Nothobranchius furzeri: one gene and its partners. The main gene of each other region encodes a partner of the protein of the gene in region 4 in a complex. Links are inferred from orthologs where the notes say so. Each region holds a gene or a part of one and is shown on either strand. Other genes may lie near its edges.

Evidence for each region. Proteins that work in one complex are often made in the same cells at the same time.
Region 1: pak1 (region 4) and arhgef6 share a complex: the UniProt entries of both Homo sapiens proteins name them as parts of the cytoplasmic complex. The link is inferred for Nothobranchius furzeri from reciprocal best matches to the Homo sapiens genes PAK1 and ARHGEF6.
Region 2: pak1 (region 4) and dcp1a share a complex: the UniProt entries of both Homo sapiens proteins name them as parts of the cytoplasmic complex. The link is inferred for Nothobranchius furzeri from reciprocal best matches to the Homo sapiens genes PAK1 and DCP1A.
Region 3: pak1 (region 4) and map3k5 share a complex: the UniProt entries of both Homo sapiens proteins name them as parts of the cytoplasmic complex. The link is inferred for Nothobranchius furzeri from reciprocal best matches to the Homo sapiens genes PAK1 and MAP3K5.

Annotation. Positions count from the first base shown.
Region 1 is NC_091741.1:83,155,381-83,159,404, forward strand, and holds the start of arhgef6 (rho guanine nucleotide exchange factor 6), read right to left. Parts: upstream 2,806-4,024; 5' UTR 2,664-2,805; coding exon 2,499-2,663; intron 1,534-2,498; coding exon 1,450-1,533; intron 1-1,449. UniProt on the Homo sapiens protein: Acts as a RAC1 guanine nucleotide exchange factor (GEF).
Region 2 is NC_091755.1:32,995,953-32,999,950, forward strand, and holds the start of dcp1a (mRNA-decapping enzyme 1A), read right to left. Parts: upstream 2,806-3,998; 5' UTR 2,767-2,805; coding exon 2,638-2,766; intron 2,264-2,637; coding exon 2,223-2,263; intron 1,453-2,222; coding exon 1,325-1,452; intron 1-1,324. UniProt on the Homo sapiens protein: Necessary for the degradation of mRNAs, both in normal mRNA turnover and in nonsense-mediated mRNA decay. Removes the 7-methyl guanine cap structure from mRNA molecules, yielding a 5'-phosphorylated mRNA fragment and 7m-GDP.
Region 3 is NC_091742.1:11,510,402-11,514,657, forward strand, and holds the start of map3k5 (mitogen-activated protein kinase kinase kinase 5), read right to left. Parts: upstream 2,806-4,256; 5' UTR 2,594-2,805; coding exon 2,170-2,593; intron 1-2,169. UniProt on the Homo sapiens protein: Serine/threonine kinase which acts as an essential component of the MAP kinase signal transduction pathway. Plays an important role in the cascades of cellular responses evoked by changes in the environment.
Region 4 is NC_091753.1:60,585,816-60,589,921, reverse strand, and holds the start of pak1 (serine/threonine-protein kinase PAK 1), read right to left. Parts: upstream 2,807-4,106; 5' UTR 2,655-2,806; intron 1-2,654. UniProt on the Homo sapiens protein: Protein kinase involved in intracellular signaling pathways downstream of integrins and receptor-type kinases that plays an important role in cytoskeleton dynamics, in cell adhesion, migration, proliferation, apoptosis, mitosis, and in vesicle-mediated transport processes.

The DNA of each region.
Region 1 (4,024 bases), on a different chromosome or scaffold from region 4:
ATCTGAGTTCTGGTTCTTTATTGCACACACAATGGTGGAGAAAGAGAAAATTTACTTTGTAACAAAAACTGAAAAAACTAAAAATATACGTATATACAAGCTCATACATACATTATACATTATATACATATATACACATTACATATATACACAAATATACATATACATACACATATGTATATATGTGTATGTATATGTATATATATATGTATATATATATATATATATATATATATATATATATATATATACATATACATACATACATACGTACGTACGTACGAACGTGCGTGCGTGTGTGTGTGTAAAACAGATTACAGGTCAAGGCTACTAATCAGTATTAATATGCTAATTATGAAAGTAGCAGTAAAGTATGCTATACAATTCTAAATGTCAGTGAAGGTGTACGATCATAAATGTGAGCACAGAGTGAATAAACAGGCCCTGATCAGTAATCGGTGCTTCTTCCTCTTTGTTTATCTAAGAGCAGAAGTGAAAGCAGTATATCTGCTTTTGTGTGTGTGTGTGTGTGTGTGTGTGTGTGTGTGTGTGTGTGTGTGTGTGTGTAGTCACAGTGAGCTGCCACTAATGCCATAGCAAAAAAAGATAGAAATACTTTAACCATAATCACTGAGGTAAGGGCCAGCTCCAGTAGTCACACAGACATCCTCTGGCTGACACATTCAACAGCGTCTCAGAAAACATCTGCCACTGACCTACTGACTGGTGGCAGAAGGTCTAATTATGGGCTAAAGCGGAGCTGGCGGGTAAAAGCTAACAGGACCTCCCAGACATAACAACCCAGCTGGACAGAACTACTCAACCACTAAAGCAAGCCAAGCCTGCTGACTCAATTAACTGTTTAAAGAAACCAAGTGATGTGTTTCAAAACCAAAACAGGTTATTTATAACACTGGAAACGTCATTAATGTCCACTGTGGAAGCTGCTGGTAAAATAACCAAGAAACTCCTAACATCTGCAAATGATTCAACTCTTTCTCCTATAGGACATACTTTTGCAACCCAGGACAGTTAAGAGATAGCCTGGCCTGCCAGTCTCGTCCTCTGTTTAATTCTACACAGAAGGAGGCATGCTGGCCAGGCTAGTTAGAGATGTCTCTGAGAGCTTTCAGCCTGCGCCCAAACATTTATTCATTTGCATTTTAATGTAAAAGAGAAGTTTGTGAGGAAGTAAACTTCGTGTTTGTGTTTCTTATACAGCGTGATGCAATCAATTATCTTTCTCTTTTAGTTTAGAGTGAGTTCCCTACCATGATCCATATAAACATGACACCATATGTCAGCGTGCTTAGCAGATCACAACACATTCAAGATGGTTAACAAATATTTCTGAAAACTGCAATAGCCAGGGATGAATAAAGAAGATAAAAAAAACTTATGTTATTATCATAATTACACACCTTTAATAAAATAAACGAGTCAACTCACCTCAACTTTCAAGGACGAGCATCCTCTTAAAAACTCCTTAATGTTGGAAATGCAGTCGCTTTCAGTTCTGGGATCCTGACAATACTGAACACACGGAATAAGTACGTTATAAACACAGACTGTCCATCGGTTCAGTGTGCCAAACAGTCATCAGACACACACATTAAACCGCTTCAAGCATCACTTTAGTTCCATTTGTGATTATAATAACGATGCAGTGGCATTCCAACAATGGTGAGCTCGTGATCTGAAACAGTGCTTGGTTCTTCGTGCGTCTCCTTCATGCAGACATAACCATAAACCCCAGTGAAACGCCAAGAGCCATATTTAAGCAAAACATCCGCTCCCAGCACTGCCCTTCAAAATAAAAGTCCGCCTTGTGCTACTGACGAGCACGAGGTGATTGAGACATTAGAAGAAGAAATACTTATTTGGTTTTAGAATTAACCGGAATTTTTTTATTGAGTCTAACATGAAACTACAAAAGTAAAGATACGAAACTAGCTAAAAAGAGTGAGTCGAGTAAAGCAGAAGCAGCAACTTCCGGTTGTCTTCTGCTCTGGGGAGGTCGTACACACTGGGAAGAGCAGCCGCTCAAGAGGAAGTGACGACCTGAATTTGCAACTGTTATCACTATCAACTTTCTTATCGCCAGACTTAACATTAAAATACACATGCATCACAGTACAATTCCAAATTCCGTGACTTTAATTAAACCCTCTGTCCATTCTACCCCTAACAGGGGGCGTTTAGTGCAGCCTTGATAGACCTATTCACTCAGATCAAGAACGCGTAACATTTTATCTCTTCACAGGAAGCCACTTACTGAAAACCCCTCGTCAGTAAACTCACTAGATGCTCCCGTTATCCAACGCAACACTCACTACGCGAAAGAACTAAGTTTGCTGTTGAAACTCTAAGCTCGCAAACAGAAAGCTGAGCCTGTGAAGTGCAAGAAGTTCCTGTCGGTATCGCTTTCATCAAACCCCTCCCTTATTTCCAAATCTCTGCTGATCATTCTCCATTTACTTGATAAATCAGCAGCTCACCTTGGGAGTGAAGCTAGGTATGAGCCGCTCCGTGAGCTTGCACAGGACGACCCCATCCTTGAGTGATGTCTTCAGAAACTCCTCCGGGTCCGCTATGTTCTTCTTGGGCGAGCTGAGCACTCCCAGCGATATCAACCACGTTACCGTCTGCTCTTCGGGATTCATAGCTCCGCAGAACGACCATTGCTTAAGCCCGCATAGCTACAAGAAAACTGGCGGCCTGTTCCGTAGGTATCAATATGCAGCTCACATCCGCACTTCTGCAAGTTAAAAAAAAGGCTGTGTGGGGGGAGAGGCGACGCAGTTCAGGACGCAGAACTGATGATCACCCCTACTGGTATACAGGAACCTCAACAACACGTTTCCTGCAAGTTGACTTTATCACAGGAAGTAAGGCTCAGAAAACTAATATGTTTGGTGTTCATCACATCATGCAAGAGGGGAAACCTAATCCAGAATAAAAATGTGTATTTGGTAATAACGCAGTCAAATTAGCGAGCATGTAAAATAAAAGCAAAATAGGTATGTTCAGTGTTTATGAGTTTTATGAATATTTACATTTGCAGGATGGGGACAACTTTGCTAAACCCGACCATAAAAACAATCTAGGCCTACCTCTTATTGGTCCGTTAAAATAATTTTTACAAAACCAGTTTAAAACATTCATACATTTTGAAGGCAGACATAAACTGTATTTTAACAATATTTTAAAAAACATAATAACTTGACACCACTGCTCTTTGAAAAATATTTATTAAAAAATAATAAGATTTTTTTTTAAAGAACTCCTGAATTCTTCCCACTTTAAGTTGCTCCAGTTCTGATTCATCCAGCACCTGCACAGAGCTGGATCAGCACCTGAAAAATATTGAAGAAAAAAATGTACATTTGTTCTTTTTTATGCTTTAGACAACTCAAAAACTTCAAAAAGAACCAAATATTAAGTGCCAACAAAGATATTTATAGGTGTGGGAAACTGGTTTAATATATTTGCAGTGGCCTCTGGTAGAAATGAATGCCTTGCAAGCAGCCCTCAGGGCAAAAAAGCCCTGAATAGCTTGGATCAGCATGAACAAGTCTGCTGTTGTAGAGTGGAAACCGTGTCAGTTCCAATACCATCATGAAAAAAATAAACTGCACGTAGGAGACAAGGATTAAGAAAAATAAAGATAAATAAATGTAACTTATGTAAATGTATATAACAGATGAGTGGTTGAATTTACAGTTCTTTTAAATGGTTTACAATGTGTCCAAATTTTGAGATGTTCCATAAAGTCTTCACGATGTCGTGATGACTTTATTTTTATGTCATCACGCTGAGAAGTCCACTTGGGTGTCTAAAAAGAACAACTTATGCTGTTTGGGAATATTTCAGGTACAAAGCAAACTTAAAAGAAGAGCCTCTAAACACTGAAGAGATCATTTGAGCTAAATAAAAGACAACCTCTAAAGACGTAGGTCCCGTCAGCACAGGAGCGATCCGGAGCTAAAATAGCAACCTTCTGTTTGGAATATGTTATTAAAAG
Region 2 (3,998 bases), on a different chromosome or scaffold from region 4:
CGTACTTGTGTCTAACCTGTGCTCTTTATTTGATCCTGCTTTTATGCCAGCTCAGTCTTCATCGTTTCTTCTACTACTCTCGCTTTCAGGATCACAGCTGGGAAATCTAAACTCATACAGCCACACCTTTACAGCAACAGGCTACAGAACGAGTCAGCACACTGAGATCTAGTGGACTGTGTGTGTGCGAGGGACTGTCTGCTGCCAGGGAGAAACCTGAAGATTATCTTCCTGCAACTCCACCAAACAACAATATTAGCACACATGCTAAAGTAAAGTTATCCGAGAAGCTGGTTTTACTGGGATACCAACCTCATCATGTCCTCGATCCCAGCCAGGCTGATGTGCAAACCAACTCCAAAAGGGGAGCCGTCGACTCTAACTTTGACCCTGGCTATGCTGTTTTTCCTTATAAGCAAACAAATGGGAAAGCATTCTAACTCCTTGTTCGTTGCCCTGATGAAGCTTCTCTTCAGACTTCTAATAGATTACCTTGGAGGCAGCGCAGTCAGCTACTTTTTGAAGATTTGAGAAACTTTGCGGCCTTTTTGTTACACTGCTCTGTCACAAGGCTGGAGGACATCGCTGGATTAACTTAGTGGTCGGATTCACCAATCAGAGACTTAACTCTGAGACGGTTGCCCAAATGCAGAAAGATAACTGTTCACTAGCAAAGCTGAAGTTGCTGTTTGGCCATTTTGGGCCATGAGTGCTAAAGTGTTCCTGCTTGATGCTGCAAGACGTCACAATGACTTCAAGCAATATGGAAGAGAGGTGTTCCATCGAACGCTGGGGAGATATCTGTCTATTGTTTTCACAGGTAGGATCATAATAGTGTTTATGCTAGTTAATATAATTAAGGATCATAATAGTGTTTATGCTAGTTAATATAATTAAGGATCATAATAGTGTTTATGCTAGTTAATATAATTAAGGATCATAATAGTGTTTGTGCTAGTTAATATAATTAATACACACATTTGTATGTAAAAGTGAAGATATCACTAATGCTTCAAATAGGAAAATTATGAAAATGCCAAAATTGCAGAAATTTCTATTAAATAATGAGCATTTTGTGACTAACAGAATTTAACAAAGCAACAATAATAATAAGCTATTATACTAGGAGGAAATGTATTTTCATTTTGGTTCAGAAGTCATTAAACATGTTTACAGATTTATTAAACACTTTTTCTGTGCTGGAAACAAGTCCTTAATGTTAAGTCACCTTGAAACAAAACCACAAACACACCAAAATACAACAGAAAAAATAACATATTTCAAAAATACTTCTTTAGTGTTTCATTTCCTTCAAAACACTCACAGTTTCCATTTCTGTAGAGCAAGAAAGGATCCTGCAGCTGGAACTCCAGGTCTTTATTTATGGGCTCAACAAGGTTCTGTGCACTCAGTCGATTCATAATGGTGAAGCCATGGTGAGGGGAGGCAGACCTTCATAAGGACCCAGGAAAAACATTACCTCCTTAATTGCACTTCACATTGCTTTGGGTACAATATTTACTCCACATTTGATTGTTTTTAATTGACCATTTAAAGCAATACTAAAGAGTTTTCGACACTTTAAGCTATTGCCTTCAAACTGGTTTCAGTGGTTCTTCAGCCATAAAGTTGAACATCTTCACATGGGACAGCACTCAGTAGCCCTCTGCTGACCAGAAACTACATTTAACAGTTTTATGGTTTGGGTCGGCACAAGTGTGGGAGGTCTCTACCTGCTAAAAAGCAGGAGCTGTTTACTGTGCTAGTAATTAATATAAAGGATAGCAGTTAACTTTACTATTGATTTAAGTAGCTCCCAGTCCAATTCAAAGTAACCTACAACAAATTCGTGTCCTGTTTATTTTTTTAACAGAAAGATTTGCCTTTGTGTATTTACTGGTACTTTTGTTATTTTTCTTCTTCTATTCTCTAAGTGTATGTGCTTCTGTAACGAGTGAATTTACCCACAAAATTAATAAAGTCTATTATATTTCCTTATAACTAAAGTTTGTAGGTGGTCGTTTTAGTTCTTCATGCTTTAACTGATTAAAAATAAAGTTTATTACAACGTTATAACATAATATTTCAGTTTCAATCTCTAAACACTGTAATTTACGTTCGATTTACTGAATCACAGAGTCCACTTTATCTTTGTTTACAAATTTCAAGGCCTCACGTGCGCAGACGGCGGAACAACCATCGTGGCTCTCAGGTATTCTTACCTTGCATAAACAAACAGGGTTCCCTCAACTTCGGTTTTCTCCTGGAACAAATAGAGATAACGACTCAAACCTAGAAACCGCAAATCCAAACTAGCTAAATAAATTTAGCGAGGGTGATAAGCTAACTGAAAGCTAATAAGGCGTTAAATTTTACAATTAGAAAGTACCTAAGATGCATTAATTGTGTTCGCGTTAAAACAACATACTAGACAACGCTATCTTAATTAACTAAACAAATAAAGACATTTACTTAAAAAACAAAACAAACAAACAAACAACCCCCCCCCCCAAAAAAAAAACAACAACAATATTTTCTGTTTTGAATCAAAGCTCAGAAGCTAAGTGTGAAGCTAGCTTTGTTGGCTCTCCACCAAATATTTCCCGAAACTTTTCCAGGGTAAATTCTCTTACTTACCCATTCGTTTGCTTTTGAATTGAAGTTGTAAAGAGCAACCTGACCGGTAACATCGAGCAGTTTGTTAATGTATGGATCGTGTCTCTGCAAAGCAGCTAAACTCATCAGATGTCCAGCATTAATCGCCATCTTTGCTTATGATTTTCTGCCGCACGGACGAATTTTTGCAAACACCTATAACTTCCGGTATTTACGGAAATCCCACCACTGAAAAGGTTCCCCAGAGGAGTTTTTTTAATTCCGCGGGGAATAATAATAATAATAATAATAATAATAATAATAATAATAATAATAATAATAATAATAAAAACAATGTAATTGCAAATTCTGAGAGAAAATGCAGAAAAAATATGTCTGAAACCAAACCCACAACAATGTGAACATAGTTTGAAAAGGTAGTTTGCCAACTGAAGTTGAAGCTTATTTCCTACACATAATGTCATCCTTTGAGATATTAGAAAAACAAGTTTCAAACTTTTTTGGACTTTTATGCAAGCCAGTTCAAATTAAGGGAATACATGTAATGTGTATACTCTAGGCATTTAACCCTCTCAGGCTCAAAATAAGTTTTGATAAAGGAACAAACAACTAAGTCTTTCAGGGATACATCTGAGTTAAAAAAATGCTCATGAAATACGTATGTGGAGTAACCAGTTAGGTAGGTTTTAACTGTTGCAAATCTGCAGCGCCTGCCTCCAGAGGGTTAAGAAAGTTTCATGTGATTGCAGGTTTCTTAAAATATAAAAATGATAATAAACTTTTAACCCACATATTTAATTTCCACCAAAATAATATTTAGCAATGTGCAACAAACTGTGAAGCAGAAAAACACGGAAATAGATACCTATTTTAACAACTTGTTCACACCTCATTCATTGGATGATCAAAATTTGGAGTTATTTATTATTAAAATTGAGTTCAGTAGCTATTTGCAATGCAAAAGCCTGCAATTATAATGTTAATTTCATGTAGCCTAATATGTTTCCTACCTCAAGTTTCATGGAAATATGTACACATCACAATGGTTTTTTTCATTTTAACTTGTGTTTTTACGCCTAAAATTTCTATTGTTGATCATTTTATTTACCCAAGTTGTTTGGTATATATTTTGTTAATCTTGAAAGAAAATGAAAGCAAAAACAGAACAATATTTCACAACGCCTGACATGGTTTTATGAATGCAGTTTATAATTTCAGATTTATTACTCAGACCTATTTGAGAAGAACTTGCATTATTTTCCTTGTTATGAAGTCAAAGTTAGATTTTCCTTTTATTCAAATCCTAAACTGCTAATAAGTGAATGAAAGTGTCTGAAAATTCTATTTAAAAAATCATGTTTATTATTTGACCCTAGCTTTGG
Region 3 (4,256 bases), on a different chromosome or scaffold from region 4:
AGAATCTGCAGAAAAACTCAGAAAATCCCTGAATATGGGTTTAGCAGCAGGGACACGCATATAAATAGAACCGCATGTCCAAGGATTGCTGCATAAATCTCTAATTATATAAATCTGAGTAGAAAATTGTCTCACTGCAGTAAGCCAGCGAGTTGACGACAAGTAAAAGATGTAGATAAGAATAAAGTCCTCAGATATGTCAAATGTTTTGTTTTTCTTTTGGAGAACAGAACAAAGAAACGTGTGCATAAAACTGAAACATGAATGAACTGACTAAGACGATGGAGTCAAACTTTTGCTTCTTTATCTTGTTTTTTTTTATGGATCCGAGCCTGAAGACTTGTCCTTTTTTGTGCGCAGCATCATGTGAGGAGGCTGTTGGAGGACAACATGGAACGCCCTCTATTAGAATGTGTCAGAAGTCACAGCTCGTCCTCGGAGCTCATTGTTCTGTGCCCTCTCGTGCACATTTGCGTAGGAAAACGGATGAAGAAGTACAGCTAAAAGCAACTTTTCCGGGAAAATGCCTCGGCCCTCCCCGGTGCACCGGGAGTTCTGTAGTTCTGAGAAAGATGACAAAAGAACACGGGGAACTTATTGCACCTGGAACAGCAAGAAGCAACAAGCCCGTCAACTCGAAAAAGTAGCTAAATTTTTACGTTTCCTGCTATTCCTGCGTGAATCTCACCAGGATACAGAAACGAGCCTAGAACCTAAAAACAGCTTTAATTTACATGAAAGGGAACATTCATATTTACACCTTTTTCCTCTCTAAACACAGTTTTTTTTTAAATGGCACCAGCTTTAATTTATCTCTTGCATCTGCTCAGTTTTGACATTTAAAATGTCATTTACACCGAGGGGAACGCCGCCGCTACTTTATGACTCAAAAACAATAGTTTGTTTTAAAACTATCTAAAGAATTATTAGCCAAGCTCGCTGCAATAAAAAGTGTTTTTAATTGTGGCTTCATAATCAACACCCCAACATTATACCGCCCTGTTCTTCTTCTGCTGTGAATAATGCAGAAACACATAAGAGAACTAGACATGCATGTTTCCAATAAGCAGCTGTTATTCTATTTTTGCTGATTAAAAAAAATGTGCACATTTAAATATGGAAAAATCCCACAAGAATAGTGGAATTTATAAGAAAGAATGAGTCAATAAAGACCTATATGACTTTGAAAGTATAAATTATCCACTTATCATTTCTCCACACTTACAGGCTTATGTCATTATTGACGTTTGGATTTTCTGCTGACTGGAAGCCAGTTAGTTAATTTATCTTGAGAAATCAATTAAATTTTTTTACTGAGTCTCTAACAGCAAATCTTCCATTTTTGCATCATTCTTGGATACATTTAGCCAAACTGAAATAAATAAATGACTCAAGTGATTATTTTCTACCTCTTCAAAAGAAGAATCCTCAGATTTGTTGTAATTGTTCCAGGTAGGTGATTGCAATATTGGTCAACTGTTGCAGCAGTTGTGGCATTTCCCATCCTTAACAGACTTAATGGATTCATATATTTTGTTTTTAGAATAAAATAAATATCAGATTTTCCCCCTTTTGCCCTTCAGATAAAACTCCTGTAAGGGGAATTCTGTTGTAGGGAGAGGAGTTAAGCGTGTTTAGGCTGGGTTAGATAAAACTTCTGTTTTCTGGAATATTGAATGTGTTACTTTAATAGGATGTGTGGGTCGGAGCATTGGTTTTATCCTGGCTGTCTGCAGAAGGACCCTTGATTTTACGATGAACAACCGAGTCTGCAACGCTTTAGCATTTTATAATGCATCAGCTGCAGAGCCCCAAACTACAAATATATAAGCAAAAATACAATTAAATGCATGTATTGCATTGCAGTTGATAAAATGTTTATCAGATCATCTCTGGACTTCAGTTGAAAGTGACCCTGTGGATCTCTGAAGAAATAAAACCTCCACTTTTGTAAATGAAACAGGAAAAAACAGCCCTGAATGTTCATGTCTTCTGTTTGAGCTTAGACGACTTGCAAGCTTCATGTCCAGACATGCCGATCTGGGTGTGCGTGCGCGAGACGAACCCAGAGCAACGTGATTTACTGGAGATGAGGTGAGCACAGAGGAGATGTGACCTCAGACCCGTGCGTGACTGGAGGCCTTTAGGGACCCACAAATTTTGACTCACCTGCGTTGTAGAACCGGTCTAAAACTGTGGTCTCCCCAAAGTCCAGCCTCCCAAAGTTGACAGTGTCCAGTTTGCTGCCCACCCGGTCGCACGCGTCCTTCAGACACTGCAGGGCCATGCTCTCCGCGTTGTTCTGCGGGCTCGCCTCGCCGTTCACCACGTAAGCCACCGTCACCGGTCTGCTTTTACCGGGCTTACAGGTGGACAGCAACCCCCCGCCCTCCATTAGCTCATCCCCGGAGGTGGGACTGACCCTGCTGCCTGGGAGCAGCGGGTCCTGCCAGAAAGTCCCGGCTGCTGGGATCCCGGGAGCGCCGCCGCCTCCTCCAGCGCCGGTGCTGCTGGGATGTTCCCCGCTGACGGTCTCTCTGCCGGAACAAAAGCTGGGAACCGGGAATGAGATTCCGTCCTGGTCTAGATTCATCTCGTTTCAAGTGTCAGTTAAAGAGTTGATCGCAGTGAGCGGCTCCTCCAGCAGTCCTCCATGGAGAGGCGGCGTTACGCACGGAGCTTCTGCGCAAACACGACATGCGACTGAGCGTTTCCACGCGGGTAAACAGCCTGCTAGAGGCGGCAGGGGCGCAGCTCCGCGTCAGGCTGCATGTTTCTGTTTGATGACGCCGAAAATCAACCGAAGTCAGTCACAACAACAAAGCGAAGGAGGAGAGGAAAGCGCAGCGAAATCCGCGCCACATTCCGCCTCAGCTCGACAGATTCCTGCGCTCCTCTCTCCCACAGCACTTCTCAAAGTTAGGCAGCGGAGCAGCAACGCCCACAGGAATCACCAACGTCACAGCGAGTCGAAGTTGGAGCTGCGCTACGTCATCTTTTATAAGAGACAGAGAGAGCGTGCGCATGCACTGACAGGCGCCTCGAATTTGCGGGCACACCCTGCCCGTTTCTGCTGTTATCTCTCCGAGCAGACCCACGCACTGGGCGGGCAGACAGCTGTAGGAGCTGGGTGGAGGCTCGAAGCTGCTTCAGGACACCAGAACAAGCGCACCTTCTAAAACCCATCAAGTTTCACACCAGAGCTTCATGAAAATGTCATTTAACATTCTCCCTCTCCTGATAATAACTTTTTGCTTTCCTTGACGTTGGATGTGCTACTACTAGTTTATCCGTTTAATTATAGATCCACTAGGATACATACAATAAAGTTTATCTCTCACCAAATAGAATATTTACTAAGACATCACAATATAACTATAGACACATTACTTTGTGTGTGTGTGTGTGTGTGTGTGTGTGCGTGCGTGCGTGTGTGTGTGTGTGTGTGTGTGTGTGTGTGTGTGTGTGTGTGCGTGTGTGTGTGTGTGTGTGTGTGTGTGTGTGTGTGTGTGTGTGTGTGTGTGTGTGTGTGTGTGACTGCTCTATCTTCTCGATCCCCAGTGAGTCATAGAGGATGGCTGCTTATACTGAGCCAGGATTCTCTGAAGGTTTCTTCCTGTTAAAAGGGAGTTTTCCTCTCCACTGTTGCTGCATGCTTGCTTAGAGGATTGCTGTATAGTCACTGACACTAGTCAGTGACTTGATGCAATTTTCTGGGTTCCTTATATAGGAAACATTATTTCTGATTGGCTTAATGAACTGACCTGAATTGGAATGTTTATTATGTGAAGTGCCATGAGACGACTCTTGTCGTGATTTGGCGCTATATAAATAAAATTGAATTGAATTGAACTGAAAATAAATCTAGTCCCTTACTGTTTTCCCCCCCTCCGTTTGAAACTTTCTCTGTTGTTGCACAGCAACGTAATGCCATCGCCCAGGCCCTATTCCAGGCAGGAAGCCCATTATCAGTTCCGGCTCGTGTGTAAAACCTGTAGAGCAACTGGTTGAAACAAACACCGAATTTTCCTTTGTGGAGTGACGTCATGGTCCCCGCACAGAAGCGTCGTGCTTCAACCTTTTCCTGTCTAAGGTCGCCCTCTTGTGGTCACAATCTGACTTTACACAGAAAGATGGTCAGTTTGCGCAAAGTCCTGAATCTAGGAGTGATGAGATGAAACGTAATTAATAACTAAATCCCTCTTTGCCAGGAACTCCATTCTAATGCAGCCATTGATGAAGACATTTATGACAGT
Region 4 (4,106 bases):
GCTATCCTGTTTGCAGCACGTGCAGAAAAAGTGTGTGAAAGGCAGCAACGCTTCAAATCTCATGACACATCTGCGCGACCATCACCCACAACTCTACAGTCAACGCAAGGCAGGCCAGTTGAGCACAGTAATACCATGGTCAGTAAACCATCTACCAGTGGTTTTGGCGCTGTGAGCAGGTGCCAGGTCATGCTGAAAAATGAAATCTTCATCTCCATAAAGCTTTTCAGCAGATGGAAGCATGAAGTGCTCCAACATCTCCTGATAGCTAGCTGCATTGACCCTGCCCTTGATAAAACACAGTGGACCAACACCAGCAGCTGGCATGGCGCCCCAGACCATCACTGATTGTGGGTACTTGACACTGGACTTCAGGCATGTTGGCATTTCCCTCTGCCCAGTCTCTGGCACCTTGATTTCCGAATGACATGCAGAATTTGCTTTCATCTGAAAAAAGTACTTTGGACCACTGAGCAACAGTCCAGTGCTGCTTCTCTGTAGCCCAGGTCAGGCGCTTCTGCCGCTGTTTCTGGTTCAAAGGTGGCTTGACCTGGGGAATGCGGCACCTGTAGCCCATTTCCTGCACACGCCTGTACACGGTGGCTCTGGACGTTTCTACTCCAGACTCAGTCCACTGCTTCCGCAGGTCCCCCAAGGTCTGGAATCGGTCCTTCTCCACAATCTTCCTCAGGGTCCGGTCACCTCTTCTGGTTGTGCAGCGTTTTCTGCCACACTTGTTCCTTCCCACAGACTTCCCACTGAGGTGCCTTGATACAGCACTCTGGGAACAGCCTATTCGTTCAGAAATGTCTTTCTGTGTCTTAGCCTCTTGCTTGAGGGTGTCAATGATGGCCTTCTGGACAGCAGTCAGGTCGGCAGTGTTACCCATAATTGTGGTTTTGAGTAATGAACCACGCTGGGAGTCTTTAAAAGCCTCAGGAATCTTTTGCAGGTGTTTAGAGTTCATTAGTTGATTCAGATGATTAGGTTAATAGCTCGTTTAGAGAACCTTTTCATGATATGCTAATTTTTGAGATAGGAGTTTTGGGTTTTCATGAGCTGTACGCCACAATCATCAATATTAGAAACAATAAAAGGCTTGAACTACTTCAGTTGTGTTTAATGAGTCTAATATATATGAAAGTCTAATGTTTACCAGTACATTACAGACAATAATGAACTTTATCACAATATGCTAATTTTTTAGAAGGACCTGTATATCGACGGAGAGCGAGAGAGCGAGAGAGAGAGAGAGAGAGAGAGCCCAAGACCAAGACCAAGACCAAGGCCTAACATAACCTTGGAGGTTGATGGCTCTGTGTAAGAGCATTGGGATAGATTTTGGAACGGCTCAGGTTCTAACTTCATGACAAAGTTGTAAATAGTTTGTTCCAATCCTTCTTCTCATCTGTGCGACATTCACTCTAACTGATTGGCCTGGCCAGCTCATCTCTCTGGCTGCAGCTTACATTCCCAAGTGAAGGAACCACAAACAATCAGAGAGGGTCCTGCTCTTCACCATCTCTGATTGGTTTAGACCAAGACATGGGTCTGTTGTTGAACAACAGGGAAACTATTTTCAGTGTCAGAGACTTTTTTTTTTTACTTGAAAAGGTCGCAGTCTATAGCCCTGCCACACTGTTGTGACAATGTTTGCTGGGCAGGTTTGTTCCCAAACCATACATGACACCCCCCCCCACCCCCACCCCCAAAAAAATCCTGGAGCCGCCCATGTAAGGTGCTATACAAACGGACCACCTACTGTAATTATCAAGTTACAGAAGTCATCACAAACTGCTGAGCCCTCCGCATGTGACCCATCCCTGCTGCAGCAGCGGCTGCGCTCGGTAACTATTTGGTGGTTGAATACTTAATACTAAATAATAATATCACAATATAATACTAATAGAGTACTTTTTTATTCATCCATTCTTAAACAGCAGCAAAGCTCGGGGAGACGATTTCCACACAGACAGGAGGTATCAGTCGGGTCAGTAAAGTAGTAAACACCATTTTTACCAAATAATTCTGGATTTTCCGCTCTCGCGTTCGGGAGCGGCTCACATGGGCAACAGCTACTGATGGATTAACCAGGAGCATGGACGTAATTTTGGGGGGGGACAGGGGGGACATGTCCCCTCCACTTTTTCCAAAGTCAAGTTTTGACCCCTGCACTTTTTACCATCCAAAAACAATATTACACTATATTAAATTGACACTGGTTGAGCTCTAGGACCAAGCAGAAAACAACCGTTTGTGTTGAAGCCTGTTTCCCATTAGAACATACTGTAAAGATACCCCCCCCCCCCCCGTGTCCCCCCCACTTCTAACGTGAAAATTACGTCCTTGACCAGGAGTCCCCTTTAGAGGTGGGAATGAGAAAACTGGGAGGCGTTCATTCATTTCTACGCCACCTGTGTTAAAACAGCCAACTGACCTGGGAGGGAGCGGGTTCTCCAGCAGCACCCGCGCCGTCTAAAGTCCGCTAAGTGCGCGTTAGTGATGAGCCAGCAGGATACTGGGCATTAACGTAGGAGATAATGGAGTGCTGCCGGTCTATTAGCCACTGAAGCACCGCGCACCGCGCCCGGCTGACTATTGTTGACTAGCGGCTAATTTAGCGGTTCAGAAATAAAGTCAAAAAGGTTACTTACCACTTTTACGGTAGCGGATGTAAATCCCAAAATGTTCCGTTGTTTTCCGTTCCCGGTTCACACCGTCTCACGTATCCAGCAAACTGCTCCCCTCGCGGAACAACCCTGCCTCTCCTGCCGCCCTCCTCGGTGGTTCAGACCGAGACGAACTTCCCGAGCACACAGGCTTATCGAAGCAGAAGTCTCCGCCTCCTCAGACGGGGATCCAGGCACGCTATTGGTCAAGCGTCACTCGTTCCCGTCACTTATTGGCTAAAATGGATGTCTGTTTCAACTCCAGGGTGGGTCCCAGAACGTTCAAATGGTGCGTTCAGTGTCAATGACGAAGTATGAGAATGTTTAACTTCCTAATGGGTTTTGATTACCAGGATTGCATTCAGGTACAACCTTTCACACCAAGATGATCCTTTGAAAATATTGGATAAACTGAGACATGTTTGAGTTAAATACTGCCGCCAATTAGTTAATTTTCTTTAAAAAAATTGAAAACAAATACTATGCATCTATGTAATCAAACTGTGTTTAAAATAACGGTTATTTTTAATAATGTTTAGAGTAAAAATAATATTGAAATAAAAAAAGTTTAATGATATAATACATCTGGTTTAAAAAAATCAATATTTTGGAGTTTATATTCTGGTCGGGTCATACCAAAGACAAAAAAATGGGACCCAATGCCTCCCTGCTTGACACTCAGCTTTAAAGGGTTGGATTGGGGGTTAAACCACCAACTGATGCAGCTCAACGCTTCAGACGGAGATGGGTCAAATGCAGAGAACAAATTTCACCACCCACCAGTGTGTATGACAACTGTTCGGACTTTACTCATTTAGTGTCTTACTATAGGCTGTAAAAATCTAAATACATTACTGCCTATTGAGAAAACACCAAATGTCTGAGAAACAAGTGGATTGAGGCTGCAGCCAGGCCCGGAGTGGCTAATCGGGAGGGTCTGGAGAATTCCCGGTGGGCCGCGCGATGTTTGGGCCGCATGCGGCCGGTGCTCTCGTTTTTGTTTTTTATCATTTTATTTTTATTTTTTGGTGCCGGTGTTCAGTCATGGCACTGAGGCCGCCGGGCTGATCACATACGCTCCTCCCGGCTGTCTCTACCTGCAGGCTGCAGCTCGTTGTTTTTTTCCCCCGTATGCGCCTGTGCGCACCACGTGACCACGCAGTTGACGGAAAGATGGAAAGTAGAAAGAGCAAGGGTGGCGCGGAGAAGGCAAGAATTAAAAAGAGGAAAGCGCTGGAAACAGATGCAGATAAATGTGCAAAAATGAGCACCTTTTTTTTCTCAAACAAGCTCGCGGTCTTTAACTTCAAATGAAGATAAAACGGGTAAGGCAAGTCAAGATGTTAAACTTTATCGGCTGCAAATCACCATTCAAGTTAATTAAGCATCAATAATGAATTATATGGCGTCATGACATAACGTTATGTAATATAATTA